4 linked regions of the Tribolium castaneum genome follow. The protein of the gene in region 1 purifies or fractionates together with the protein of each later gene. This does not show direct contact. Links are inferred from orthologs where the notes say so. Each region holds a gene or a part of one and is shown in the gene's direction. Other genes may lie near its edges. The genes, in order: AGO1, gw, Dcr-1 and RISC-loading complex subunit tarbp2.

Evidence for each region.
Region 2: the proteins of AGO1 (region 1) and gw purify together in Drosophila melanogaster (affinity purification with western blotting; 17 studies listed by BioGRID, with this or other methods). This does not show direct contact. The link is inferred for Tribolium castaneum from reciprocal best matches to the Drosophila melanogaster genes AGO1 and gw.
Region 3: the proteins of AGO1 (region 1) and Dcr-1 purify together in Drosophila melanogaster (affinity purification with western blotting; 5 studies listed by BioGRID, with this or other methods). This does not show direct contact. The link is inferred for Tribolium castaneum from reciprocal best matches to the Drosophila melanogaster genes AGO1 and Dcr-1.
Region 4: the proteins of AGO1 (region 1) and RISC-loading complex subunit tarbp2 purify together in Drosophila melanogaster (affinity purification with western blotting; 4 studies listed by BioGRID, with this or other methods). This does not show direct contact. The link is inferred for Tribolium castaneum from reciprocal best matches to the Drosophila melanogaster genes AGO1 and loqs.

Annotation. Positions count from the first base shown.
Region 1 is NC_087394.1:4,848,757-4,855,992, reverse strand, and holds part of AGO1 (protein argonaute-2), read left to right. Parts: intron 1-1,184; coding exon 1,185-1,420; intron 1,421-1,472; coding exon 1,473-1,917; intron 1,918-1,967; coding exon 1,968-2,190; intron 2,191-4,516; coding exon 4,517-4,747; intron 4,748-4,817; coding exon 4,818-5,010; intron 5,011-5,261; coding exon 5,262-5,395; intron 5,396-7,236.
Region 2 is NC_087399.1:1,983,797-1,991,032, reverse strand, and holds part of gw (protein Gawky), read left to right. Parts: intron 1-679; 5' UTR 680-718; coding exon 719-1,316; intron 1,317-1,372; coding exon 1,373-1,492; intron 1,493-1,549; coding exon 1,550-1,806; intron 1,807-1,858; coding exon 1,859-2,606; intron 2,607-3,236; coding exon 3,237-3,553; intron 3,554-3,605; coding exon 3,606-4,391; intron 4,392-4,441; coding exon 4,442-4,584; intron 4,585-4,792; coding exon 4,793-4,946; intron 4,947-5,000; coding exon 5,001-5,218; intron 5,219-5,268; coding exon 5,269-5,506; intron 5,507-5,551; coding exon 5,552-5,671; intron 5,672-5,719; coding exon 5,720-6,028; 3' UTR 6,029-7,236. UniProt on the Drosophila melanogaster protein: Required for gene silencing mediated by micro-RNAs (miRNAs). Silences both polyadenylated and deadenylated mRNAs. Required for miRNA-mediated translational repression and mRNA decay. Not required for miRNA target recognition.
Region 3 is NC_087403.1:8,545,769-8,553,525, reverse strand, and holds the start of Dcr-1 (endoribonuclease Dcr-1), read left to right. Parts: upstream 1-3,277; 5' UTR 3,278-3,401; intron 3,402-3,462; 5' UTR 3,463-3,493; coding exon 3,494-4,762; intron 4,763-5,900; coding exon 5,901-6,953; intron 6,954-7,000; coding exon 7,001-7,757. Other genes in the region: probable elongation factor 1-delta, read left to right, coding at 1,538-1,818. UniProt on the Drosophila melanogaster protein: Endoribonuclease which functions in microRNA- (miRNA) gene silencing and, independently of its ribonuclease III activity, also acts in the short interfering RNA- (siRNA) gene silencing pathway.
Region 4 is NC_087395.1:26,691,527-26,699,505, forward strand, and holds RISC-loading complex subunit tarbp2, read left to right. Parts: upstream 1-3,260; 5' UTR 3,261-3,405; intron 3,406-3,699; exon of another isoform or gene 3,700-3,707; 5' UTR 3,708-3,778; coding exon 3,779-3,805; intron 3,806-3,922; coding exon 3,923-4,063; intron 4,064-4,118; coding exon 4,119-4,405; intron 4,406-5,312; coding exon 5,313-5,613; intron 5,614-5,828; coding exon 5,829-5,978; intron 5,979-6,046; coding exon 6,047-6,295; 3' UTR 6,296-7,088; downstream 7,089-7,979. Other genes in the region: GATOR2 complex protein WDR24, read right to left, coding at 718-966, 1,309-1,745, 1,795-1,911, 1,969-2,059.

The DNA of each region.
Region 1 (7,236 bases):
TAAGATATCACAATTCTTTACCAAATTTTTGTTTTTTTGCCTTATTTTTTTTTAAGAATTTCTATCAAAAACCAACTAATATCATGATGTGTCCAACATTTTTAACTTTTTTTTGATAAAAACTTTTTTAAACATTAAAATAGTTAAAAGGAACAACAAAATGTTCGCTTTATAAATCTTTTCATTTTGTTTTGTTTATCTAAATTTTGCAAAATAATAGTTGTCTGTCGCCTGGCCATAAAACAACCAAAAACACTTGAAAAAGACAAAAACATTTGCACTTGGTGCCTTAGATTGGGCGATTTTTCAGTTTGTTTTATCAAAATCTCACCCAAAAATTGAGGATTTCATCTAAAAGTACCTTTTTTCACCAAGTTTTTTGTTTTTTGTTGCGTATTTTTCATGAAATTTTTGTGATTTTTCGGTCTGTTTTAAATAAAAATAAATAAATAAATAAATGGTTCTCGATTCTGTTTTTACTTCAAAAACGTGCTTAACACGCCAAAAATGCAAGTTTAATAACTTTTCGGTTTGTTTTCATGAAATTTTACAGTTATGCTAAAACACAAATCGTATTCTTGTTTATTCTGTTTCAACGTTACCTTTCAAACAATGAAACAAATTCAAAATTTTATGGGCTTCATATGCAAAAGAGTGTTTTTTTAGAAAGTTTTCTTTTCTTTTTTCATTAAAGTCATTGTAACATTTTTTACTAATATCCGGAAGCCTGTTTTATGGATAATGCTAATACCAATGCGTTCCCTAAAAGAATTGTCAAATAAAAATACTAGTCAAGATTGAACCATTTAATTTTGACGGTAAGTATTGTGTTATTTAACTCTCTTTTACAAATTTTTGCTATGAAAGGCCAATGCGTCGTTAATCGTTTATTCGAGAGACAAAATGATAAAACGAAGTGTTTTTACTTATCTCTTAAGTTTTTGTTGCCATTTCTTTACCTTACTGGCTATATAAAGAAGCCTTTTTCGATTTCGTATCACTTTCATGTGTGTGATCGTTCGTGTGTTATTATTTGTATTGTTTAATAATCGTGACGTTTCCAACCATGAGTTTACCTCTTCCCGACATCATCCAGAGCGTGTTGAAGGTGTTCGACGAGCTCGACACTCCGGTTAAGATTTCAGCCCCACGTGTTGGTCTTAAAGATGGGTTTGTTGTTCCAGCAACCGCCCCTGGAACCGCTAGCACCGCCGTGGCCGTCGTGGGGGCGACGAGCACGGCCCTCGCCACCGTGCCACCCACGACAGATCCGCCGGTCTTCCAATGTCCCCGTCGGCCAAATCTCGGCCGCGAAGGCCGTCCCATTGGCTTGAAAGCCAACCATTTCCAAGTGACGATGCCGCGTGGCTTCGTCCATCACTACGACGTGAGCATACAGCCCGATAAATGCCCCAGAAAGGTTCACATTTCGTCTAAATCAAATGTTTTTTTCCTTAAGTTTTTGTCTCCAGGTCAATCGGGAAATTATCGAGACTATGGTACACGCCTATGGTAAAATTTTCGGCAACTTGAAGCCGGTCTTCGACGGTAGAAACAATCTCTACACGCGTGATCCTCTACCGATTGGTAATTCACGCGAGGAGTTGGAAGTGACGTTGCCTGGCGAAGGCAAGGATAGGTTGTTTAGGGTGACAATAAAATGGGTGGCGCAAGTGTCGCTTTACGGACTCGAGGAAGCGCTAGAAGGGAGAACACGACAAATACCGTATGAGGCAATTCTGGCGCTTGATGTCGTAATGAGACACTTACCGTCGATGAGTTACACGCCAGTTGGTCGAAGCTTCTTCAGCAGTCCGGAAGGGTATTATCATCCGTTGGGTGGTGGGCGAGAGGTTTGGTTTGGGTTTCACCAGTCGGTCAGGCCTAGCCAATGGAAAATGATGTTGAATATTGATGGTATGTTTTGGTGTGTTGGTTGTGTTTTTTTTTTAAATGTTTATTTACAGTTTCTGCAACTGCTTTTTACAAAGCACAGCCGGTTATCGAATTTATGTGCGAAGTTTTGGATATTCGAGATATCAACGAACAGAGAAAACCGCTAACTGATAGTCAACGTGTCAAATTTACGAAAGAAATCAAAGGTTTGAAAATCGAAATAACACATTGTGGGACCATGAGGCGGAAGTATAGGGTGTGCAATGTGACACGAAGACCGGCTCAGATGCAATCGTAAGTTGATGATTAATTTTATTAATTTGTTGCATTCTAATTAAATTTAAATTAATTTTTTATCTCACAGTTGCTGTGTTATTAGTATGAAAACGTAAAGAACTAAAGAAAATTATCAAAAAATTTTGTATTGGTATGAAAATGTTAGTTGAAATCTACAAAATTCTACTTACTTTTTTGTATTCTTTGGCTGTGTTAATCATTTTAATTGAATGAATGAAACACGTATGTAATTTAGAGTAGGATTTTTCATTTTTACTTGTAATTGAAAAAAGCTGTGCAAGCGAATTTTTTTTTTCAATTTTTTAGACGAGTAACTAATAACTCAACTTAATAAAGTTCAATCCTATAGAAAACAGAGTAGTATTAGAGGAAAATTATTATTACTTAAAAATATTAAGCTATAAATAAAAATTAAACCCAATTATTATTCAACAAGTAATCAAATTAATTGGTAGATGATATACAGCATGTCTCGCGAGATAGTGTAAATACTTTAACCATAGATTGAGTATTAAAATTGAATTGACCCACATTTTTTATTTTTTTAAAGGTTTTTCTTATGGTGTTATTATTAACCTCCAAAGTTGCTCCAAAAATACAGAATATATATTTTTTTCTTTAATACTTGGCATACATTCGTTGTTTTAAATAATTAGTCATTTAACAGTGCAAATTGTAAGGTTGTAAAGCATTGTTAAAGGGGCTGCGAGGGCCCTCTTATTTAAATTGTTTCATAACTTTGTTGCACAAATCAGTTCGTTGGTACTAATAGAATTTGAAAGCTTATTCTTTTGTACAATATTTGAAAAGTGATTCTTTCGAGCTAAATACAAAAAAAATTCTATGGACGCGTGTCCGAAAATGATTTCTAAAGAAACTAGAAACCTTTAAAGGTGACATGGCAGTCATTTTTTAATAGTTATTATCTCTGTAAACTGTTTTGTTAGATATTGTTAAAAATTTACACCCAGAGTAATTTTTTTGAGTAGAATTTTTTATTGCTATCAAAAATTGTAAACTCCATCTAGGGGGTAACCTATCAATCTTATTTTAGACGTAAAATTTAATTGTTTTTTTTTGAGGCTGGTAACAATTTTTACGTAATTTTTGCACAAAACACAGAGGTCATTAGGAATAAATAATTTGGATATTAATTTTTGTTATAAAATATTTTAGAAATAGTCTGAAAAGATCACATGTTTAGAAAATCATTTTATAGCAGACGCTGGTTTTTGTGTGATTAGTAGTTTTTGAGATACAGTAAAAATAAAAATAACAAAAAGTAAATAAACTTATTCTTACATGTATTTATACCTACTTACCCACTTCTACAAAAACCTAAAAACGATTTAAGCTGACCGAAAGCTACGATTAATTTATCAGTTTTATTATTTTTTCGGGGATTTCTGGCTTAAAAATATTACTTTATTCTTTGGTTTAATTAAAGAACAAAACTTGCTATATAGATAATCTACAATCGCTTTATTCTGACTGGAAAAGGCTTATTTATTTTAATCACCAGTTTTGTTGAAATATTTTGACCTGGAGCAATTTTTACTTCAAAAATCGCTGTAGAAAAAGTTGGAATTGCTTTATTCTGCCCAAAAACGACGCTTCAGACGCTAGTTTTTTTGTTGAAAATATTTGATTTCGTAAAATTTATTTCTCAAAGCGACAAAACTTTTAGAAGATTAGCTACAATTTTATATTGTGGTCGAAAACAAACTTTTGCAGCTCTTCTGCGGCGACTTTTACCGATTTGGACCAAGGAATCATCTCAAAATTAAGTCATTTCAAAATACTGCTGTTTTAAATCATTTTCCACCAGAATAGTAATTAAAAACTGGTGTCTAAATGCATACGATTTGTGATCTTATTAATTTAAAATAGTGCCCAAAAGCGATTTCAAAATACATATTATTTAAAAGTGGTAGAGCTACTGATTTCTGAAGTATAATATTAAAAAAAAAGCGAAATATTTCGAGATCGGCTAAACTTTTGTGTTGTATAATAATCGACCAATCCAGAAATTATAAATATAGCTTTCTGTTAAAAAAAAGTTAATAATTCATTTGAAATATGACTATGAAATATGAATTATAGCTATGTATTTCTATTTGTTTAAAAAATGTAAAAACTACGATTACTTTAAACTTGTTAGTTACATTTTATTTGCACAGGTCTCGTAAAATGATTGCCACAGCATTTAGTTAATACTAATTTTAGTGTTCACTCTTTTAAAGGGGTGAGTTATTTGTTTTATGCATAATTTAATTTAGAATTGTGTATTACAGTGTTATAATTTGTTTTTTGTTTGTTTTAGTTTCCCCCTCCAACTGGACAACGGACAGACCGTAGAGTGTACCGTAGCAAAGTATTTCCTCGACAAGTACAAAATGAAATTAAGATACCCCCATTTACCGTGCCTCCAGGTTGGCCAGGAACACAAACACACCTATTTGCCGTTAGAAGTCTGTAACATTGTAGCTGGCCAACGATGCATCAAGAAACTAACGGATATGCAAACATCCACTATGATAAAAGCTACAGCAAGGTGATGAGATAATAACACACTAAGGCTTCAAGTTATATGTACTATTTTATATATTTTTTTTTAAATATAGATCAGCACCGGACAGAGAACGTGAAATCAACAACTTGGTAAGGAGGGCTGATTTCAACAACGACCCCTACGTGCAAGAATTCGGCTTGACAATCAGTAACAACATGATGGAAGTTCGCGGTAGGGTTCTCCCACCTCCTAAACTACAGTACGGTGGTCGGGTGGCTTCCCTCAGCGGACAGGTGGGCTGGCACGTTAGTTTCAAGTTGTATTACTATTATTATTTTAATCATTCGTTTATTCGTGTGTTTATTTTTTGTAGATAGATGTTTTCGTTGCATGTTGTCACGTGTTTTTTTCGATTTGAATTTATTGGTTCACTGTGTGATAGCATCGTGGTTGTTTTGTTGTTCGTGTGTTTGATGAGAATTTTTTATAATGAATAAAAATACATAAAGAATGCGATTGTTATATGGAATTAATTGTTTTGTGTTTTTTCTCTTAGAGCAAACAGCAAGCGATGCCTAATCAAGGCGTGTGGGACATGCGAGGCAAACAATTCTTTACGGGTGTGGAAATCAGAGTTTGGGCCATCGCTTGTTTTGCTCCACAGCGTACCGTGAGGGAAGACGCTTTAAGGTATGTATCATGTTAGTAATGACTGAAAAAAATCTATACAATGACTGGTTTCAAGTCAATATTTCACTATTATTATTTTTATAATAGAAAAAATTATTGAAAAATACCAAACAAGATGAGAAAATCGATTTTGATGTTAGATGGGTTTGAATCAATGCAAAATTTTTGAAAATTCTTTCACTAATATTTTTAACATGTTTGTGAATTTTCGTTAATTACGATAAAATTACACTTCAGAATGACATGTTTGGAACTTATGTAAAACAGCCTTTAGGATTCACTGAGCCATATTTATTGTTTTTAGTGTTGTTTATTTTTTACACATCTATAAAAGGAGGAAAACTGATAACGAAGTGTATAACATAAAAAAGATTTTAACATCTAAATGTACGTCATTTTATTATAGCTCTAAGAAAATTATTAAGTACATTATAAAATGAGCGCATTTTTTTTGGATTATGGACTTTTTAAATAAATAAAAACCACTAGTTTTTTTCTAAAGTTTAGTACCTATATTATGTAATTCACAATAAAATGTAAGCCAAAAATTCTCAAATTTAAAGAGATAAAAGATTGTTATTGATTGTACTGGGTGGCAACCTTATCGCGCACCCAGGAAAATCGCGACTTCTAATGAAATAAAAATTCTGAAATTTTACACACCAGCCTATACATTAAAAGGACCATTCTCGATTTTTATTAAATTTTTTTGTTAATAAATAAAGTCGTAGCAGTTTTGTGAGTTTTTGAGCACTTACTGTTAATTTAACTAGTTTTTAGTTTTTTGAACTATAGAACACTGGTATCAGAATTATAAATTTTTACTTGGTTGGTAAAATAATCGGTTTTTTTTATTTAGACGCAAACTAGGCGCGTGATTTATTAGAAAATGGTATAATTTGCCAACAAAGGGATCAGTTACCAGTAGCCGACCTTTTTGAAGCCCCTTATTTACAGTCTTGCAATAAAACTGATGCCTGCATTGAAATATCTCAACGAAATCTTTTACAATCTTACCCCAATTACAGTTCACATTGTCACCTAAATTTACGACGCCACAAGTAGCAACTCATAAATAAAAATACTTTTTAAAGTTAAAATGTAAAAGTGCGTTTAATTCAAAATCTGATTGGTATTTTTCTTCGCTAACTTCGTAAACAATTATCTGAAGTGAATACGCCTGGTTTAGTATAAAATTTAGAATTTGATTTTTTAGTCAAAAATTACTTTTTTTAATTATTATTTTTATCTGCAAGTGAACAATTACCAAAAAATTAGGGGAGATACCTTTCGAACGTACAGTCAGGCGTGTAAAATGCAATATTTTTTTATTTAATTAGAAATTGCGATTTTCTTGGGTGTGCGATAAGGTTTCCACCTAGTATAGTAAATATTGTATTACATTTTTGATTTTATATATCAAATTACTCCGTTGACTGCCGATACACTAATTGTATTGTGAAAATAAAAATACAAAAACATGAAAAATAAAAAAATAAAAAAACTTGTCGACTATTTTTTTTCTATGAAATATTTTGTAAAAGTCAATCTTGGGACTAGTTGGTAGCTTACACAGTTCATCTCATAGAAAAACTTAGCTGCCTCTAGCCCACGTCTATTTTGCCGAAAATTTTGAGTTATTTGAACATTTTTAAAAACATTTTACCAAATAACTTTTTTGCATTTACTGAAGTCTTAGAAAACCAAAAAGTGATAAACCTCTGTAGAGTCAAGTTTTATTAAATATAAAACTAGTTAACCAATTACAGTTTGCAAAAACCTTGGAAAGAATTTTTTTTAGTATTGAGTTATTTTCAGCTTTTTCCAACACTTAATCTTGT
Region 2 (7,236 bases), on another chromosome or scaffold:
ATAAGGGTGGTGTTTTTACCGATCCCTGGATTTAATTTTTTGATTTTGTTTTATTAATTGCAAAATTTCGTCCAAAATCAGCCAAAAATTCGCCTAAACTGGTCAAGAATGGCGTTGTCGGAGTTAAAAGTACGTACTGTTCAGAAATGGCTGTTCATCAAGTCACCTATGAAATTTGAACGCTTGATTTAAATTGTGAATGACGTCAAAATGACAGTTTTGTCAAAATAATTCTAAAAACGAAAGAGTACACAGCAAAAATCGTGGAAATATGTATAAAACACAATTCAAGACCCTGCACTTTTGCCGAAAAATTCAAAAAAGTGAGCAAAAAGTTAATTATATTTGAACACATTTTTTTCCTTCTTTCTAACACATTTTTTGGTAAAATTTAATCAAAAATTCTGTCAGTGGAATCACCAAATTCGGTGGAAAAGGGTATTTTTGGTTTTTCTTTTAAACAATATTTCTCCCAACATTTTATTAAAACACAGAAATCGCCCAAGTTGCAAGTCGAAAACTGGCTAAATTAGTGCAAAAATATCAATATTTTTGGCTTTTTTTCGAACATTGTCAGCTAGAAACGTAGTTGAAAGTAAGCGTTGTCGGCCAGAAACGGAACTATTTTTCGTGATTTTTTCAAAATGTGTGGAAGAGTTGAAGTGTTGGTGTTTTGCAGATCTCTGGCTGGCCAGACTGATATGGAGCACTAGTGACGATGCGCGCCCCCACCCCCTCCGAGCCGAAGTCTACATTTCCTACCTACCAAGTGCCTCAAGTGTCAGCCATGAGGGGCAGCGCACCCCCAGTACAAGTCGCTCGGGCAGCTTGGGGGGGTCGAGCCGACCCCCCGAGCCAACCCATCGCCGCTAAAGGCGCCACATCTGTGATAAACGGCTCAAGTTGCCGTTTAAACGGCAACTCTAATATTAGAATGCAATCTGTGACCGAAAACTGTCTTCTGAACTCTGTTACCGTACCAAAAATACAACGTAAAGACCACTGCAAGGTCGCCCACAATAATAGCGATAAGTTAGTATGTAAGTTTGGTGCTTTACCCCTCGGACGAGACATTCCCAACCAAAAGTCTGATGACCTCGAAGTACTCGACCTCAATGCACTGAAGAACCTCACTAGCTGCGATAACAACGACGAACACTGCGACGACGACGAAATGTGCCGTGAGCCCCACGTTCAGCGCACAAGCGATAATCATACGCCGCCTCTGAGATTAAGAGGCGGTGGCGAAAGTTCGCTCAGCACCGGCACTTCTGGCTGGGGCACCCCACCCTCACAACAGGCCAGTAATAATAACGGTAACAAACCCCTAAATCATTTTATTCATTTTAAACGAATTCATTCCGTAATATAGCTAACACTTCGAGCGGCTGGGGAACAGCCAATCCCGCTAATCAAAACAATACAGGCACTCAGCAATGGAACAATAACGCTAATCGACCACCGACCTCAAGCCAGGGACCTACGCAAGATGGTAAAAATTTGATCAATTAAAACCGATACAAAAAGTATTAATTTTTTATTCAAATAGCCAACAAGGCCAATTCTAACCTGAATTCGAATGGACAACAACAAACACCCGCCTCACAACCAAACAATTCCAGTTGGGGTCAACCAGGTGCAAAACCACCAACAACCAACAATGGACCCCAACCTACAACTTCGACATCTTCAGCTAAACCACCCAATCCCACCGCCCAACCCAACACGACCACTTCAACCAAACAACAACTTGAACAACTCAACAACATGAGAGAAGCCATCTTCAGCCAAGACGGTTGGGGAGGCGTACGTATTTTTAATTTTTTGCGAAATAAATTTAACTAATCATTTCGTACAGCAACATGTGAATCAAGACACGAACTGGGACATCCCCGGCAGTCCCGAACCCTCGATGAAGATGGACGGTTCAGCTCCACCTCCTTGGAAGCCAGCAATCAACAACGGCACCGAACTATGGGAAGCCAATTTGCGTAACGGCGGTCAGCCGCCTCCACAGCCCCAACAGAAAACCCCATGGGGTCACACCCCCTCGACCAACATTGGCGGTACCTGGGGCGAAGACGACGACGCCGACAGTTCAAACGTATGGACCGGTGTCCCCTCAGGCCAGCAACAATGGGGCAATACTGCCAATAGTGGCGGTATGTGGGGCGGTCCGAAAAAAGAGTCCGAATGGGGCGCAGCGGCTGGAAACCCTGGCTGGGGCGATCCGCGCACTGCCACCGATCCACGTGCAACTGGAGGCATTGATCCGCGCGATATGCGTCCAGATTTGCGAGATATGCGAGCCGGAAGTTCGGATCCGATGCGTTTGTTAGATCCGAGAGAACAAATGAGACTGGCTGGAAGTGATATGAGAGGCGATCCGAGAGGAATCACCGGAAGACTGAATGGTGCTGGAGCCGCTGATGCGTTCTGGGGACAAGCGGGACCGCATACAGGGACACAACATATTCATCATCAGAATAAAATGCCGGTGGGACCTGGAAATGGGGCCGGATGGGAAGAACCATCGCCGCCGACACAAAGACGTAATATGCCCAATTATGATGACGGTACTTCGCTCTGGGGCAACCCTCAGCAAGGTAGCGTAGCGGAATTGCACTTATTTATTTTATATTTTTGATTGGTTTGTTATTCTTGTCGAAATTACACGCAAAAATTGAGTCATGCACTTGATATAATTAGATAAGGTACAAGTGGCAAATGCATTTTTGTTTTAAATGTTTACGTAAGGTTTGAGAATTGAGGAAAATTTGTCTTTTGCTTGTGCAATGAGAAACAAAAGGAAGATAACTTTGTTTCATAATATTTGATATGAGATTTGTGTGACATCAAATTTATTTTAAGCGGTTTAAAATTCCTCGAGGTCCATCAGGTTCTAAATTTGGCTATTGTAATGTCTTAAAGAAATAAACATGGTTGTTGTTTGAATATAAATAGAACGCGTCAACACTGAGTCACGTAATAATGAAAAAAATTGGGGATTTTAGAGCTTACGTTTGAATTCAAATAGAATTGTTTGCGTGTTTTTTGGGCAAGACATAATGTAAATATTTCTTGTGCTAGAGAGCGGAATCGTCGAGGGGTAATTAGACTAATCATGATTTTAATTTTGTTTAATTTTTCTTTGACATTTCCACACGAGATTAACACCGCAGACACACACTGATCATAATCACACTTGCACTCATCCAACTTTTCACCTACAATAGGCTCTCACTGGAAAGATCTGCCCACAGGGGCAAGTATGGGACGCGGTAGCACCGCTGGTCCACCTGGAATGGCTCAGTCCCGTATAAAACCAGACGGTTCAGTGTGGTGTCATGGGCGAAATGGTTCATGGGACGAAACCGGACCGGGATGGGACGAATCCGTGGGCGGTTGGAACAAACAGAAAATGGCCGGGACCCATCTATGGGGCGACAACGAAATCGACTGGGGCCACAACAAAGGACCCAAGCAAAATCTCACGAAAGAAATGATCTGGAACTCTAAGTGTTTCCGAATGTTGATGGATATGGGCTACAAAGTCAGTGCTTAAAAAATTGTTGTTGTTTTATATTGCGATTTTTTTTTAATAGAAAGAGGACGTCGAGACGGCGCTTCGCCGCGGCGACATGAACTACGAAGACGCTCTTGAAATCCTGGGTTCGCGTAATCCGGACGGCTGGCGAAACCGCCACGACGACCACTACGACCATCAGCAGTTCCCGGGTCAGCGTTTCCCGTCTGGACCCCCAGGCCAAATGTCGTTCCCGCAGGGCAACAACGCCCCGAACCTCCTCAATAACATGAACAGTTCAGGTGGGCCAAATAATTCACTCATTAATAACATCTCGCCTGCTGGAGTACACAAAATGTTGACACAAGGCGGCGGCGGTTCGCAAGGTTTTGGTGCTGTTTCGGCGGCCGGACGCAATCTTCAACCCCAATCGCAACCCTCAACTCAACAATTACGAATGCTCGTACAACAAATACAGATGGCCGTGCAAGCTGGTTATCTTAATCATCAAATTCTCAATCAACCGTTGGCACCGCAAACTTTGATTCTCTTGAATCAATTGTTGCAACAGATTAAGACACTTCAACAGTTGATGACACAACAGTCGGTTGCACAGTCGCAATGCATCAACGGGAAGCCGAACAGTGCACTCTTGCAGTGTTCGGTGTTGATTACGAAGACTAAACAACAGATTACGAATTTGCAAAATCAGATTGCTGCACAACAAGCCATCTATGTCAAACAACAAAACCATGGAAGTATCGGTGGGGGACAGTCGGATTTGTTCAAGACGGCTGCACCGATGCATGACTCGATTAATGCCCTACAGAGCAATTTCGCCGATTTGGGGATTAAGGATCAAGTGGTGAGTTGAGCAAAAAATTGCGTATGTGATACGGGAGTGGTTTTTTACAGAATCAGAGTCAATCGAGGCTTAACCAATGGATCAATAAGGATAAAGAAGAAGGTGGAGAGTTTAGTCGTGCCCCAGGTTCATCGTCAAAACCTTTGGCTACCTCACCTAACATGAATCCACTAGGGTTGACCCAACCCGATGGGTGAGTAGTCTGTTTTTTTTTTTTTTTATTAAACAAATCTTGCTACAAATACATTAAATATGAACCAAATCCTGTAAAGTTAAAATTTCAATGATTATAAACAACGGATCCAATTAATGATGGTTGCGTGATTATCAATACGTTATGAGTCAAATTCGAGTGAAAAAAATCGTTGATTTTGCTTAAACCTAAACTAATGGAGCAAAAGTCCTTGGTCTAGCGGCCGAACTGGCGACGGTGGTTGGCCAGAATCCGGCGGCGGCGATTCATCAAACGATGGTAAAGACGCACAGTGGCCTACGCCTACTCAACCATCCTTGTCTGATTTAGTACCTGAATTTGAACCTGGAAAGCCCTGGAAGGTACAAAAACCGGCCCAAAACTAACACATTATCTAATCCCGCGCAAAATTCCAGGGTAATCAAATAAAATCGATCGAAGACGATCCCAGTATTACTCCCGGTTCAGTAGTGCGTTCGTCACTCTCAATCGCCACCATAAAAGACACCGAACTGTTCCAAATGAATCCGAATAACAAGAGCCCCCCGGCCGGCGACACAATCCAGCCTTTAAGTCTCAGCTCGTCGACTTGGAGTTTCAATCCGCCGTCGTCGACATCGAGCGCGTTCACTAGGTTCGAACAAACCAACTAACTCGCTTCGTTCATTTCACTGTCGCGTTTAGTCCTCAGAATAAGTTGCCGTCATCGAAGAGTGGTCTAGGTGAGTTGAATCCGACCACAGCTGTCACGTCCGAATTATGGGCGGCTCCGAAAAGTCGCGGCCCGCCACCAGGTCTGTCCGCCAAAGGTGGAGCCCTGGTCAATGGCTGGTCGTCGGCGGCGTCGTGGGGCGGCGGCCAACGGGGCTCTGGAAGTTGGGGCGGGTCTCCGTGGCTTCTCCTGCGCAATTTGACCGCTCAGGTAACGTTAACTAGGTGATTTTTTGCGCTTAATCGAATGTAACAGATTGACGGGTCGACTCTACGCACACTGTGTATGCAACACGGCCCATTGCAAAGTTTCCACCTTTACCTGCATCAAGGTTTCGCTCTTGCCAAATACTCGACACGTGAAGAAGCTACTAAAGTAAGTTGATTAAAGGGTAGGTTTGTGGGGGTAATGGTGCGATTACAGGCTCAAACTGCCTTAAACAATTGCGTGCTCGGTAATACGACGATTTTGGCGGAGAATCCGTCAGAATGGGACGCCAATGCTCTGCTGCAACAAGTTGCAAGTCAACAGAGTTCATCGGGAGCGTGGAGAGGTTCCACCAAGCAGCCCAGTACAGGGAGCGACACCTGGAGTACTGGCTGGTCAAACAGTCAATCATCAGCTAGTCTATGGGGTAGCACCACCTTGGATACGACTGATCCGGCACGTGCTACACCCTCGAGCCTAAACTCGTTTCTTCCCGGCGACCTCCTCGGCGGTGAGTCAATGTAAACAAAATACAAAAAAAAAAAAACGACTGACACTGACTTCACACATTATATTGGGTGTTGATGATGTAAGTTTTAAACGTTTTTAACTTGATTGATTTTTGTAAGATGTCGGAAAACACGAATTGTATTATTCCACCTTTATTGTTATTTAATGTAATTTTTAATTTTTACGACGGTTGTTGTTTTTAGGATTGCTTTATGATTTAATGAGTTTCACAGATGTACACAAGGACCGGTCGTGAATACCTTTTGTTTTATCTTAAAATTGAAATTAAATGAGAGTTGCCATTTTTTATTATTTATTTATTATTTAATTGAGAAGAAGTGGAGTAATTGTGTATGTTTGTGATGCAAGAATTGTTTGTAAAAGAGAATTATTAGCAAATAAAGTATTAAAATTTGGAGAAAAATTGCAAAAAAATACGTCAACACTTGTTACTTAAATTAATCGTAACATTATTCCAATTGTGACTGTGAGGCGGCGTTTTCTTGTTTTCCACTGATGGCGCTCAAGTTTCTAAACGCACTTAATGTGACATTTCATTTTTAGACGTAACCCGAACTAGTCCCGAGCAAGGTTAATTATATATATATGAGAAAAAAGATAATATATATGTACGCGACCAAACTCATTATTCGTGTATTTAAAAACAAAAATTAAAAGAAGATTGAATTATTTAAGGTGTACTGTATGTATTTGATTTGTTCTCTCACATTTAGATATTTTTTTCCTATATTATTAACTATTGTATATTAATGTTGTTTTTAATAATTTAACGTACCTAAGTTGTTTGTATGTGTTTGTTTCCCAGTGTGGTATGTCCGTTCTTTACACAGGTCTTGGCGTGTGGCATTTGTTTTCCGGTCATCTCAATTAACGATCAATTGGTGTGAGAGTAAGATGTGTGTAAAGAAGGTGCTGTTAATTTGTTAACCCCACAAAACCTGTGATCTCCAATTCCTTATATCAAAAATACACATACAAATTAATCATTTATGTAATATTGTTATGAATTAAGCCGGTCGTGAATAGACCGTAAGCTGAAATAACACCACACAATCAGTTCTTAGACTGCACGCTATAAGTATTCTTAAATAAATTTAGTAATAAACACAATATAATAATAGCGGATAATATATATCGTTCTAATTATAAAGTTTATTATATACCTATATATTACTGTATTCTGTGTACTGTATGTATGTTAG
Region 3 (7,757 bases), on another chromosome or scaffold:
AGTGACAAAGAATATTTTTTCAAAAATATATTTTTATATTTTACCCTGTATTTTGTGCAGCAATTCGGCTGTGTGCTTTTTTGAGTTTCCATAATTTGGTGTTTAATTACTTGATAATCTAGAGTGTGCAAATCTGCTTCTTCATCAATAAGTCGACTATGGAATCTAAATTCAATACCGCTTCGTTCAAATGACTGCTGTAGTTTCTGAGTACTTACTGTCATCTCTGTAAGATCTGTTAATTAGTTGTTTTTTCATTTTTTTTAGGCAATGTTGTTTCAATTGTATCGTTTGTCTTTATTTGTGTTTTACGTTTTTGTATTTTCTTGTGTATGTTCTGTAGTTTCTAAGTTTGAAGCGCTTTTGCTTTTGTTTGCCAGCATTCAAAATTTTGATTCAACGACACATCGCGTCTAACAGTCATAGATGACCTTTATAATAATTTGTTTTGCTATTCTACTAGATCTTAAGCCTATTTAATTAAGACAAACAATATTTTAGTCTGCGAGGGTAGAGTTTAAAAACCTACATTTCTTTAACATTTTAAATAGCTCTCTCTACTTTTTGAAACATTTTTGGATGGGAGGCAATAAAGTTAAGCGTGGAGAAAACTAATATTTGTTGACTTTTTTTAGTTAGGGGTAGCTTCAAAAAGCAGGGGGTTTCATTTAAAATTTCTAATTAAGGATGGTTAATTTCTAGGGGATGATGTATGTTAAGAATTCTACTCTATCTTTAGCACAAGAGGGTAGAGGGTGGTTTGGGCCGACAAAGGCCCAGAATTGGGAGCAGTAGTATTAGTAAGTTAGTAGTAAGGGAACCCTGTTGACGGAAGACAAAATAATTTGTTATTGTTAGAATGTTAGAAAATATTGTTATTGTTAGAAGGTGGTGTTTTAATGCGAATAAACATACAGTTTTTTAAATGTGGACTGTATGTTTATTGCATTAAAACACCATCTTCCAACAATAACAACTTTATTTTGTCTTCTGTCAACAGGGTTCTCTTACTGCTAACCTACTAATACTATTCGCCCAACTCTGGGCCCTTGTCGCGCCAAATCACCCCCTACCCTCTTACGCTAAAAGTGGGGTAGAATTCTTGTTTAAATTAAACTGGCTTAAAATTAAAGACCACTACGTACTATGACTAAAAATTTTTAAAATAAAGTTACCTCTAACTCAAAAACTATATTAGATATTTTGAGTTAATAAATATCGAAATCTTTTAATATGAACAAGATAGTACACGTATTTCAACAAAACTGACTTCAGGGAAAAAACGACTGATTTCAGAATAGGGGTTGATAGGCAAACATTTTCTGTCGCAATAACCCCCTAAAGTGTGACAACATATTTTTGTAATAACCTTGTACAGTATATTAAAATTCGCATACAAACATGCATATAAATATAAATACGTATGAAATTTAAAAGTGCATTCTCGCTGACGTTTTGGCGCGCCGTTTGCTGATTGGCTAAAAGTAACATAGTTTTGACGCCTCATAAAAAAACTAAATTGGTTGTTGATTTCCAGAGCCGGCTTTAATCGCAAAATCGAACGTGATCCTCGACGTGAAGCCCTGGGATGACGAAACCGACATGAAAGAGCTCGAAAACCAAGTCAGGAAGATTTCATCGGACGGCCTCCTCTGGGGGGCCGCCAAACTGGTCCCTTTGGCTTACGGCATCCACAAATTGCAAATCTCGTGTGTTGTTGAAGACGAGAAAATTTCAATTGACTGGCTACAGGACGAAATCACAGCAATTGAAGACTACGTCCAGAGTGTGGATATTGCGGCCTTCAACAAGATCTAAGCGACCCTTTGTACTTTTTTATTTAAATAAATAAAGTGGCCCCGGTTTCATTTCCAAATAAATATAGTTAATTTTTATCTGTGTTTTATTAACCATTTCGTTTTTTTTTTATTTTTCCACATATTAGTATCGACTTTGCAGTCAATTGTGATTTGGCACAAGCATGGCTCTTCTTAGGAAACTAGTGCCTTACTCTATGAGAACTCATAGCAATAAAAAACTGTCAAATAAAAAAAAAATCATTTCTAATAGCAATTAAAATGTGTTGAATAAAGTTGTGTATAAACATTAATAAATTGTGAACGGTGTCTTTAAATGCCAGATTCATTGCTGACGACTAAACATATTTCGACTATTCTACACATTAACGGATCAAGAAAAAAAAATGTACATAGTTTCCCCATCTAAGAATTCTACTTTGAAGACACAGAATTAAAGCAAAGTCAAGCCGCAGAAAAAACACTTTTATTTTTTGAAATTCGAGAACTTCAAAATACGAGTGTGCTAAAAAGCTTATTTAAGCAGTTAGGCACGCTTTCTATCTACCAAAAAAAGTGTTTATCACTCATTACCACATAATAAAATATAAGTACAACAACTTTTCTATAAAAGCATTTTGCAAAAGTATTCATTATTTTTACTATTTCCCTCCTTTCCTGTAATAATTGATTCGCCTTTTGGGGGCCATTCTGAACACTGTAATGAATTTTTAAAGATAAAGTTTGCGAAATCGGGAAATTTTAAAGAATCTTTAAAAATTCATTAAAGTTCCAAGGGGTACTTTATGATTTTTTTACAGTCGAAGGCCCTATCGAAGAGCTTAATTTCCTGCAAAAATAAAGAAAATTGCAGGATATAAAGTGGGTGAAGAAAATAAAGTTTGCAAAATAGAGGAACTTTATAAAAATTAAAAAAAATTGTTAAGGTCCCAAGGGTGTTTGTCCGAACATGATTTTTTTACAGTCTCCTGCAAAATAATCTCCTGTAAAAATAAGGAAAATTACATAATATAAAGTAGATGAAAAAAAAAGTTTGCGACATCGGAAAATCTTTAAGAATCTTTAAAAATCCATTTTTACAGTCGAAGGCCCTATCGAAGGACTCTTCTTTTACAAAGATAAAGAAAATTGCAGAATATAAAGGGGGTGAAAAAAAATCAGTTTGCATTGCTTGAATATGAGAATAAAAAATGCAGAAATTAAATACAGTTAAGTTTTAATTTGTAATAGAAACACATTATAATGGTCAGGAGATTTTCTACAAATGTGATATGCAAGTCAGCGTAACAGCTTATTGATGTTTTTATAATGATTTACGATTATTTTGATAAATTTTCTGGTGTGAATTGGCTGCAGAAAACGAGAATGGTGGGGAAATAAATTGTCTGGTCGACTGTAATATTGATGGTGCCAGCACCATTTTTGAACCATGCTCTTCACCGACATTCAATTTTTTTGGAGTGATTGTCAAAACGCTGTCAACTGTCAAAACCCGCTCGGTCTGTGTGGTGTTGTTTGAATCTAAACTGGTATTTTTGTGATAATTTGTATATTCCAAGTGAGAAAAGATGTATCCCGTTGGTGGTGAGACGTCTCTAAGTTAGTTCAATCATAATCAGCAATAATAGCAACGAAAAATGCTTAGATAAGTCCTCCGTTGTGTACAGCACCCCTACATGGCTTGTTATTTAAACGAAAATGTTTACACGCACACGTTTACCCCACGAGAGTATCAAGTGGAGCTGCTGGACAGCGCTAAGAAGCGTAATACAATCGTATGTTCGAGTGCGAGTTCGGCGAAAGCGTTTATAACAATAAAACTGCTGCAAGAGTTCTCCCACAAGATGCGGGTGCCCCACGGAAAGCAGGCTTTATTCGTGCTGGACGGCCCGAACGTCCCGATAATGACGTCGCACGTGAAGCTGCTGACCGATCTGACCGTTACGAGCATAGATAAAGAGGAAAACCCCCCGTCGTTGAAGGCAAGCAATGTGATTGTGACCACAGCCGAAGTCTGTGTGCTTCTATGTAAGAAGAACTTCGTTCATTTGGACAGTTACGCTCTAATCGTGATAGACTGCTTATACGGGGGGCAACAGTCGTTAGTTAGGGAAATTATGGCCCGGTATCAGGCGATTCAAGCGCCCAGACCTCGAATTTTGGGCCTGACTGCCGGTCTTTTGGGCTCCGAGATGCAACCCGATCGTCTAGAAGCCGAATTACAACGCTTAGAAAAATTACTTAGTTCCTCGGTAGACACTTCTAGTGAAATTCTCACGCTGATACGCTTATCTTGTCGGCCGCGCGAACGCATAGTCGAGTGCTTTAAACCCATTCCAAGCCCTTTGCAGGACAAAATCAAGGCCACTATAACCTCCTGTCAGGATTTCCTCAAGGACCACCGCTACGATCCGAGCGAAATCTACGACGATGACTTGCTCGAGGAATTCAAGCAAGTCCCAGACCCCAAGGAACAGCCTTTGAGCTTCTTCGACGACTTCCTCGAAATTCTGGACGATTTGGGGCCCTGGTCGGCCGACAGAGCCGCCTATGGCATGCTTATCAAGATCGAGAAGCTCAAAGTCAAAGTTCCTTACGAAAGACATTATTTATTGTTATGCGTTGCTTCATCAGTATTAGTTTCGATAAGGGCTCTCTGCGAACTCGAATTCCAAGACTACACAGATAAGGAAAAGGTGTTTCGTTTCTCAACGCCGAAAGTACTCAGATTTCTCCAAGTTCTAAAGCAGTTTAAACCGACCGGTGATAAGCCGGAAACTTGCGACAAACTACCAGACCTCAAAGACCCCAAGAAGGGAAAAGGGAAAAACTACAAAGGGCCCCGAAGGCCGTACATCTCGCGCGCGCAAAGCGACGAGATGCTCTGCGCACTCGTTTTCGTCAAAAATCGCTACAAGGCGGAGGCCCTCTTCGCCCTACTGTGTGTAAGTAAAGCAGACGTGTTCCTGTAAGGCTAAGGGGTTGCCCTAAAGTGCCATCGTGTTTTAATGCTGCCTGTCGCAAGGTTTTGCCACAGAACTAACACTAAAATCATAAATTGAAGAAGTACGTTTATTTTGTAACTTATGATCTGTTTAAAAACTACTTTAAAGCCCTTGATGTTTAACACAAAATTAAAACAGGAAAAATATCTGACAACTAATTGTTTGGACTAAAAAAAGGAAAAACTTTCTAGTAGTTCGTGATTTATTTTTTTTGGGGGTTTAATGAGGTCACGACTTCCCACTGGCATACTTTTAATGATCTGTCACAGAATTTTAGCGTTTTTTGTTGCAAATGTGTTCTATTTTATTTTTTAAATCTTTCACCACTGTGGAAGATTTTTAAGATAATTTTTCATTTTGTGCCAAAAAGACACAAGACATATTTAAATCAGGCCTGTTTGCTGACCAAGACATAACATTAATGTGAGAATTACCGAATCATTAGGTATTTCAAATGTTTTGCTGTGTGACAAGAAGCATAATTTTTTTGTATAATTTTTCAGTCGGTGGTAATAAATGTTTTTGCAAAATATATTTGATGGTGTTCATGAACTCAAACCCACACCGTTTACAAACATGTATCATACCATTAGCAAATTTAAGCGTACTTTTGAGACAGTCTTTGTGAAAGATCTCTTGGTTATTTATTACTCGTTTTTGAGAATTGAGAATTTCAGCAGTGAGTAATGTTTTTTTTTCTTGTTAATGATAGTCAATTTTGGTGTTAAATTTCTTAGCGTTTATATATTTAGTTGCCAAGCTCAAGTGGATATATTTACAAAAAACACTAGAGTATTTAGAGAACTGCATAAGTTTGAAGTGATTTTATTTTTCCTTTAAACGTGAAGCATTTACTTCTCTCACTTTTGCTAAGAAATTCTTTTCTTTTGAAAAGAAGAAGCAACGCAAGTCTAGTTTATCTTTAATAGTCTAATGCTATTTTTGTTTATATTTATCTGCTTGACTTCATGGTTTGAACTCGAGCTTCTATTCTTTGGGCAAAATCTTGCGATACTAAGCTGGTCCCCTCAGCCTTAGAAATTGATGGTTTGCCCGCTGATTGTTTGCATTGTGTCAGGTGATGTCAAAGAGCGACGAGGAGTATTGGTGGGTGTCGGTTTCGTTCTCCGTGAATAAGATCGCAGATCCGGTGCGCGAGCCTCGGGAGGCGGAATCCGAGCATAAAAGGCAGGAGGAAGTTTTGCGGAAGTACAGAAGTCACGAATGCAATATAATGATAGCAACGTCGGCGTTAGAACAAGGCTGTGATCTTCCTAAATGTAATTTAGTGATACGTTTCGATTTACCTCAGTCGTTCCATAGCTACATTCATAGTAAAGCGCGAGCGCGCGCAAACGAAGCTCATTTTCTTTTGCTAGCGAACGAGAACGAAGTTAGCGATTTTGTTGAGAATTTAGCCGAGTACAACGAAGTTGAGAATACGCTATTGAAGAGGTGTTACAGTTTGGAACCTGATAAGAATGAGGAGCTGGTTGCTGATGCTTCGTCTCTGCAATGTAGACCGTATCAGCCGTCGGCCGAACCGGGGGCTAACTCAGTTAGTCTCTCGAATGCTATAGCTTTAGTCAACCGGTATTGTGCAAAATTGCCCAGCGATACGTTCACCCGCTTGACGCCAATTTGGCATGAGGAGAAGGTCGAGAATGGTTATATTTGTTCCATTCGGTTACCTATCAATTCTCCGGTGAAGAAAACGGTGACAAGCCCTCCAATGATTAATACTTTACTGGCACGCAGAGCTGCAGCTTTTATGATTTGCCAACTCCTACACAAAGCGGGGGAATTAGACGATAATCTGCAACCAATAGGCAAAGAGAATTTCAAAGTGAACGAAGAAGACTGGAATAGCTCGGCGCTTGAAGAATCAGATGAAGAAAATCTAGACCCGAGACCGGGAACTACGAAACGGCGGCAGTATTACTATAAAAAAGTTGCCGATGCTCTACTTGACTGTCACCCAATTATTGGCCAACCGACTTACTTTTACAAAATCGTAATGAAACTGACCTGCCCTTTGCCCGAAGAACAAAACACCAGGGGGCGGAAAATATACCCTCCGGAGGACTCTCCTCAAGGGTTTGGAATACTGACCTCCAAAGAAATACCAAAGGTGCGACTCGTCTCTTGATTAAGTTTGGTCTAATTTCTAAATTTCAGATAAGTGCCTTTCCAATTTTCACAAGATCGGGTGAAGTAAGTGTTGATTTACAATTGTGTTCACAGTTAATTGTAACGGAGAATCAAATTTGCAAAATTAGGGAATTTTTAAATTACACGTTTACTAGTGTTTTACGTTTACAAAAGTACCTAACCCTTTTCAATCCTGACGCTTCGGCCAATTCGTACTTAATCGTGCCAACGATAGATGGTGCCACCACCACCGTCGACTGGGACTTCATCGACTTAATCTACGCCAACTTGACGGTACTCCCCGAGATAATTCCGGAAGAAGTCCGAAAAAGCTACGAGTTCGATCCCGAAAAGTACCGAGACGCGGTTGTCATGCCCTGGTACCGCAACCAAGATCAACCCCAGTATTTCTACGTCGCGGAAATTTGCTCCAACTTAAACCCGGCCTCGGACTTTCCAGGCTCCGACTACGCCACTTTCGAGGAGTACTACTTGAGGAAATACAGCATACAGATACAGAATAAAAGCCAACACTTGCTGGACGTTGACCATACGTCGGCCAGGTTGAATTTCCTAACCCCGAGGTATGTCAACAGGAAGGGAGTGGCTTTACCGACCAGTAGCGAGGCCACGAAACGAGCAAAACGCGAGAAACTGGAACAGAAGCAAATTCTCGTCCCCGAATTGTGCGCCATCCACCCGTTTTCTGCCTCTTTGTGGCGAAAAGCCGTATGTTTACCCTGCATCTTGTACAGGATCAACGCACTGCTATTGGCTGATCAAA
Region 4 (7,979 bases), on another chromosome or scaffold:
TAGCCTGATTATTTCTAAAGTTGGTATTAATGACACACAACGGGTGACTTAAAAATTGGGGCAAAAAAATCTACTGGCAACATTGAGCTTATTGGTGGATATGGTTTTTGTTTATCTACTGCCAAGGATGCGCTACCACCTTCAACTTTTTTTTTCAAATGTAACGGAATGTCAAGAGTACTTCAAAAGCAGTACAACACACTATTTGTTTTTTGAATACTTCCAAAGCCTACATGATAAAAAAATAAAAACCAATTTTTATTAATTGAAATTAGGTAAATCACACTCGAAATGTTACAAAATGGTAAAACTTTAACATATAAATTTGATAGTCAAAGTTGCCAAATTAAGATTTCAAATCTGTTGGCCAATCTAACGACAAGAATTCACAATCTTTAATAGGCTCCCGGTAGTTTTTTTAAAATTTTTTCTACTAGATTATACTTTAAATGATTCGTTAAATGGTTGTGACCTGTACTTTAATGAAACTCATTAAGTGTGGCGACCACAAAGACAACTTGTGACCAATGAGAATGTAATATGGCAGCAACTATTTTTAGATTTCCTTGAGCGTTTGACAATAGGCTAATATTTAAAAATAAATTTGACACTTAAAATCGTATTTTTTTTATATTAACTGGGCGGATCGTAATGTACGCTGTTCGCATTTAATGGCTATTAAAACATATAAAATACTATTTACTGAAAAAGTCATACCCGACCACTGCTGAGGAAAACATGAGGATCTTCTTTCCAAGCCACTCCACTTGGAGTATCCTTGTGTTCATTGAAAGAGGCATAAGGAATGTAGGGCCTCCTCACATCCCAAATATTTATACTACAGTCAACAACTAAAGCACATGAAGCTATATGAAACCGCCGTTGAGGGCGCCATTTGACATGTCCTATTGAAGCTATAGTATGAATGGTATATTCTAAAGTCAGTTTACTTGTCAAATCCCAGACCTAATAAAACGCGCATTTTATAAATATTTAAATCAAAACATCTTTAATGGACAGAGAATTTCATTTTTACCTCGCGGCTCTTATATTGATTGGGATTAAATACATACATATTATGTATCAATGTGACATTATTTCTGAAGTTAGTATACATCTAGGGTATACATCAAATTTAAAGTCAAACTGACAGTTTATTATTCAAATTAAAGTTTCAGCAATTTTCAAATATCACCCCATGTATTTTGTCCCATTTCTATTTTTTTAAGCCGTGAAATTTCATAATGCAACTAGCCGTTTATAAACAAAGTTCCCCATCTTTCAAAGACATTTTTAAAGAATACAAACTTTGATAGTTTTATCTCTACTGGCTGTGGCCAGCCACGTGTTCTCCGGATGCCAATCGCAGGCAAAAATGGGTCCACTGTGTGCAGCAAATTGCTGTTGGCATTTATCAGATCTTCTTACATCCCATAGTTGGACGCTTCCGTTTTCCGAAACGGCCGCAAAAGTATATGGATTATGAGGGCTGAACTGCACATCGCGGACACTCTCTGTGTTACTGTAAAAAATAGCAACTGCGTTTTTGGCGCGGATATCAAAATAACGCATCGTGCCATCTTGAGAGCCGGATATGAGTCTGTTTGGTTCACTGGCGTGAAAATTCACTTTGTTTACTGTACGTTTGTGTTCTTGATAATCTTGTTCTTGCATTGCTTTGCCCATTTTTGTGAGATTCCAAACACAGACATGGCCGTTGGTGGCGGCGGTCGCCAAATAATGGTCTGAAAACGAACAGTTATTGAACAAACTGTATGCACCTTCAAGTACTACCATCAGTCCAACTCCACGAAACATCGTTGCAAGAAAAGCTCAGATTGAGGTGTTTGGATGCTCGCAAGTTGCACACTTCGCGGAATTTGTCTTCTTCAATTGTGTAAACTTTGAACACTACAAAAATAAGTGCTTTGTAATGAATGAACAATTTTTCCTTTTAATTTGTGCTACCATTGCGTCCACCAATTGCCACTTGAGTATTGTCTCTATTTAAGGCTAAAGCATTTACAGGACCTTCTTGCAAAACGTGAAATGTAGCCATTGTTTACATATTCTTGACACTTCTTTGATAAAATCCAGCGATTTATAAATTTGACACTGATAAAGTTTAATTTATAATTACTACGTTCAGTCACGCGTTTACTTAGTCATTTTTTATTATAAAGAAATAGTTTTTAGTCATTTTTTTATATTTAACAAAAAAATGCGAGGTTAAAAGGAATAACCTAAAAACGTCAAGTCTGACGTTTCACGTTTCCTAGAAATCAGTAGCTTCCAAACAATTACCAGTTATAGCCATACAATACAACAGAGAAGCAGTACATTTTAATAATCAGAAGGGAAAAAGTGATTGTTATTAAAACATTTTATTTGGGTTAAATAAATGTTACATAACATATTTTTTACTTATCTGGGTGGTGGTGCCACCAAATCATAATTATAATTATCTCCGAGTGTGTAATAATTTTTACCATCATCATCTTTGGCCCAATTATTGAAGGGCGATGGTGGTTGTTTATGAACAACTTTAACAGGGGCAGACTTAAGTCCCATTCTGATGTATCCCACGATTGATGACATAATTAAACTCATAGTACTTAAAAGTATTGCAATGCTTGACATTACGGCCATAGTTTTAAAAGCTAACGGAAAAATAATAGATTTGATCATTAAAGCTCCGAAAAGAAGTGGTACAGTGTATTTGCTGCCACCTCCTTTTTTCTTTTTACGCGCTCCTTCCATTTCTAAAATTTTAAATTAGAAGAATTACACAATAGTATACAGTAACTTTTTTATTAAGTTTTCTTACCATTTGTAGCAATGAAACTGTCGAAGATAATTTCAGAGCTTGGAGAGAATGTTAACAAAAATACAAATACCAAAACAAGCGTTCGTAAACGCATCTTGGTCAGAAATGAGGATCTTGTGTGATTTTTTTACAGTCTAGTTGGTCGTAAATAGGCTAAGAATATGACAATTTTAAAATTACACATTTTTAAATAGTTTTCAAGCGGAAAATTGGGCGATTTGTGATTACTTTGACAAGAGGATGTTAAGAGATGTGTAATTGTAAATAAAATACATCAGTAAAAAGTAAAAATTATTGTTTTTGGATCAAATTTATTATTATTATCTTGCAAATATTAAAAAATAGTGAAATGACCAAAATTCATGTTGGTAACCACATTTTTCGTCGTTTATGGATTTCTAAAAAGAACAAAAGTTGGTAGCAACGAATTCCCGCTAAGTGGCGCTACTGTAGAATGTTACTTCTTCGCATGCGAACTGTTTAACCATTTGACGTTTGTGTCCATCAAAAAACGTCGCCATTACAGTGTTTATAGCGACGATTGTATTTCAAAGTGTAATAAAAAATTCTAAATAATTGTAAGTAATTTTACTGTTTTACATATAATTTTGCTACAATAGAGTTGTGTTGTCTATTGCGAATTATGGGTTGTTAGTGGAATATTTATGAACCTTCTTTACCGGCTCTTTTTACAAAAATTATAATAACAAAAAAATTTGGAGTAAATTTGTATTTTAAGTACCGAAACTAATAGTTTTAGTTAAAAATTTTGACCGTTGCTTTAGGGGTGTGAATGCGAAGGGGTCGCTTTGTTGAAACCGTTACCAGTTTCTCTCTCTTTTCTTTTGTGTTGTTGATTTAAAATCTTTGAGTTGTGTAGGGCGAATGGAATATAATTTGCTCGTTTTCTTCAGTACGGGAAGCGGAAATTAAGGGCCGACAAGCGGCGAGATGTTTGTACCTCCGCCAGTTGAACAGGTAAAGAAATTTAAAAAAATCGAGGATTTGTTATGCCTTTATTCTCGTGGTGATGGTCGGTTTTTTATTCGCGCCAGTTTTCCAATTGTCAAACCTTGCAACGATTTTTCTTTTCAGCAATTTCGCATGGACCCAAATATGACGCTTCTGCATTCCTCAAGTCAAATACACAACGTCCATCCTAGGAGGAAAAACAACAGAAATACTTTACACGGAATGCAGGCTGAACGCTTGTCTCTGAGCGAAGAGGCTAAATTGGTGCGATTTTTCTAATTATTATTATAATTTTTTTTTGATACTAACTGAGTTTTAGGAGATGGCGTCGTTGCCGACCAAAACTCCTGTTTCAGTACTTCAGGAGTTATTAAGTCGTCGTGGGGCGACGCCTAAGTACGAACTAGTCCAAATCGAGGGGGCTATTCACGAACCTATATTCCGCTACAGGGTGTTTATTAATAACGATTTGGTTGCTACTGGAACAGGGAGGTCGAAAAAAGACGCCAAACACGCTGCTGCGAAGAATCTGCTTGATGTTTTGGTCGGCAAACAGAGTCCAGAACAAGCCAACGCTTCTAACGGGACTCCCGGAGCCAACGATATGTAAATAAATCAGCATATAACTACGGAAAACTAAATATTAGGAGGCGAAACGAATTTCAATTTTTTTTTTGGATATCTATTGCTGGTGATTCAATCAAACATAAAATGGAGCTAAAAAACATATTCTTTCCTTTATTGTTGCACATTTTACTATTTTCGAGAAGTTTATGAAATATAGTTAGATTAGTCTGTGAACTACTTGAGGTTTAGTTTAAAATTGATACGAAAATAAGGCTATATTTTGATGAACTTACAAATCACACACATACACACACACACACATACACATGACTTTGCAAAGAAAAGTCGCATATTGTAAGAGAATTTTATGAACTCATTGAAGAACATCACAAGAGTATGTTTTTAAATTTACATTTTCTTTGGCTGATTTTGATCGATTTAGCTTACTTACTATTTAACAAAAATCTTTATAAAAAAACGTTAATGAAAAAGTTGGAATTTTTTAATAGAGTTATTGTCCTTTTTCTGTTGATTTGTTCCACATATTGGCCGATTTGTTAAATGAAAACTTGTCTCATTTAAGAAAATTTCTTTCTTGTTGTCGATACAGTTTGTATTTTTCCTAATGTTTCATTATTTGACAAAATTTATTCTTTAACAAAAAACGCAAATTTAAATCGCAATAATTAATATACTTATACGGTTATTATGTAAATCAAAGCAAATATTTGCAAAAAAATTTATTTACGTAAAATTTGAAAATTTCTTTACGTATTTTACGTAAACTCCCATTTTTTTTGCGTTATATAAATACTGCCAAATTAAATTTACTGCTGTTAAAGAAAACGAAAGGAGAATTTATTTGTACGTCGTGTCGTATCCTAATTTTTAGGTATCCGTACGGCCAATAAATCGCAACGTCTAACATTTGAAATATTGTATTCAGTACAGCTCAAGTGGTGTCTCCGTTTGATGATAAAGTTATGGGGAACCCTATCGGTTGGCTCCAGGAGATGTGCATGTCTCGGAGATGGCCTCCACCGTCCTATGAGATGGAACATGAGGAAGGTCTTCCACACGAACGCCAGTTCACGATAGCTTGTCAAGTGTTAAAATTCAAAGAAGTCGGTACTGGCAAGTCAAAAAAATTAGCTAAAAGAATGGCAGCACACAAAATGTGGCAGGCCCTGCAAGATATGCCTCTAGAGGGCAATAATCTGCCGCAAGGTTACGACGACGATGAAGAGGTAAGACGTTTCTGTTGATTTAGTTTAGTTTTTTCGTTTGGCTTTCCTTCTTCAGACATGGATGCTTTTTGTGTTTGCTTATTGTTAATAAAAAATTGGATCTTGCTGAGGTATTTTTACGATCTTTCAGAGCGCGCTGTACAAAATTGAAATGAATAAAATTCGTAAAAATAATCCCGAGCAAATCTGTCTCAATTCAATGACGTATTTTGTAGTTGGCGGCGAAAATGTGTAACTTACAAGGACGCTACAGTGGTCTGAAAGATAGTAAAATACCGACACTCAACATACAACACACCCAAAAGGTGTCACAGTTTCACAAAGCCCTCAAGCAGTCCAATGGGCCGAAGCTAAAGGAGTTGCAGGTAAACTACTTGATTTAGCAAAAATGCGAAAATTGTATCGTTTTTACATTTGTATAAATCGTTTCCAGAACATAGTTCTCAACAGCAAAGACTTCAACTTCATTCAGTTTTTGCATGAAATTGCGTCCGAGCAACAATTTGAAGTAACTTATGTCGATATAGAGGAGAAAGCACTATCTGGCAAAAGTCAGTGCTTAGTACAGCTTTCTACATTACCGGTAGCGGTGTGTTACGGTGCCGGAGCGACACCGAAGGAAGCGCAATCAGCGGCTGCTTTGAATGCACTCGAATATTTAAGAATAATGAGCAAGAAGTGAATTTCGAGCTTATGATCGTTTACACTTCAAACATCTGCAACTTTTTTATTTAATTTGTTTTTATTGTGTATACTTATTTAGGCTAATCCATGTTGAGATGTTTTTAAGTGTAGCCGAGTCATTTTTTCAAACAAAAATGTATCAAGATGCATGTGCTTTCCCTACATGCATTTTGCTTTTCTTCTCGATCGGCGCCATTTTGGTAACACGTGATGGATGAATCTTGGGCGGCGTCGACAATTTTACGATTACATACATCACAGTCAGTTGGGCACTTTTTATTGTGTATTGTTCAAATGCGAAACAATAAAAACTGTGCGACTTATTAACGAGAAGGAACGCACCTAATTTTACAAGCTATACTTTGCATAGAATTAGTGGTTTTTTTCGAGACTATGTATGTCGTTTTTTATATTTTTGTGTTTGTGTGTGTGTTAATGCACTCAAGCAGAAAATGATTTTTTAAAAGGTGTCTATTATTAAGAGTAGTGATGTTTAGGTACCTAGCTTTAGCATTCCACTATATAGGCACTAGAACTTGAGTTGTAATGTTGGGTGCCCCCATATAACATGTTGTACATATTTATATTGTGTAAAGGGAGCATTTATTTAATGCAAAGTATAGAGGTTGTACCCCTGTTTCCCCAGAATTAACATATATGTCAATAGAAGCTAATGTTAAGATCAAGTACATCAATTCGGACAATATTGTTTTTCCTTTATTATGTTCTACTTGAGCCATATCGATATTGATGTGTATGCTAATTGAAAATAAAATAATAGCTTACAAAAAGTGTTTAATTAAAAAAAAAGACGGTGGTGGCCATGTTACAGCATTGTCACTGTCATTCAACGTGACATGATTTATATCCGGCCTTGTAAATTTTTTAATTTGCTCTTCCACGTCGGAGTTGGAAGCTCAATTTTCGCGCTGAAAATTTATTTAATTGTTTGTAAAATATTCATTGTCAGAGAGATGTTTCCTTGGCCGTGAATGAATTTTTCAGTGTTCGCTCAATTAATCAGCTAGCGTTCTCTAACCGAATTTGCATAAAGCAGTAAAAAATATTTTTTTTTTAAATTCATTTTCCCTCAACATGCATGAACAAGTTTTAATCTGCGATAATGCATCTCGGTAAACCCGTTAAAAAAACACTATGTTTGTCGATAATTTTACAACGCTTGCACTCTGACTGAAAGTGGATCGACGTTTCGTCGAAATTAAAGACAGGAATTTAATTAATTCGATTCGGTTTGAAATTTTCTCGAATTGGAACGAAAAACAACTTTCGTCCACCTGTTTGCAACAAACTACTGAATATTTAAATACGGGAGGTTTTCGACTAGAGCCTTTTGAATGTATAAATAATGCTTTTACGAAAGCTTCTGATTGTTGTTGAAGAAAATCTGTTGCTCTTGAAAGCTTCGGAACCCAACCGAATTAAAAGAAACTTTACACGTTTTTCCACGACGGAGAATAACATCCAATAGGAAATTTGCATTTGGGACGCTTCTTCATCAAGAAATAAATACACGGTTAAGTGCATCGAGCTGTGTAATTGGTTGTCTGCGTAGCGAAATTATTTTGCGAAATTCCCGAATCCAATAACGCTTTAGTCTTTCATCACAAACCGTAACGACGTTAGATTTCCCAGTTGGAACTTAATTTTGTATAGCTATGGAT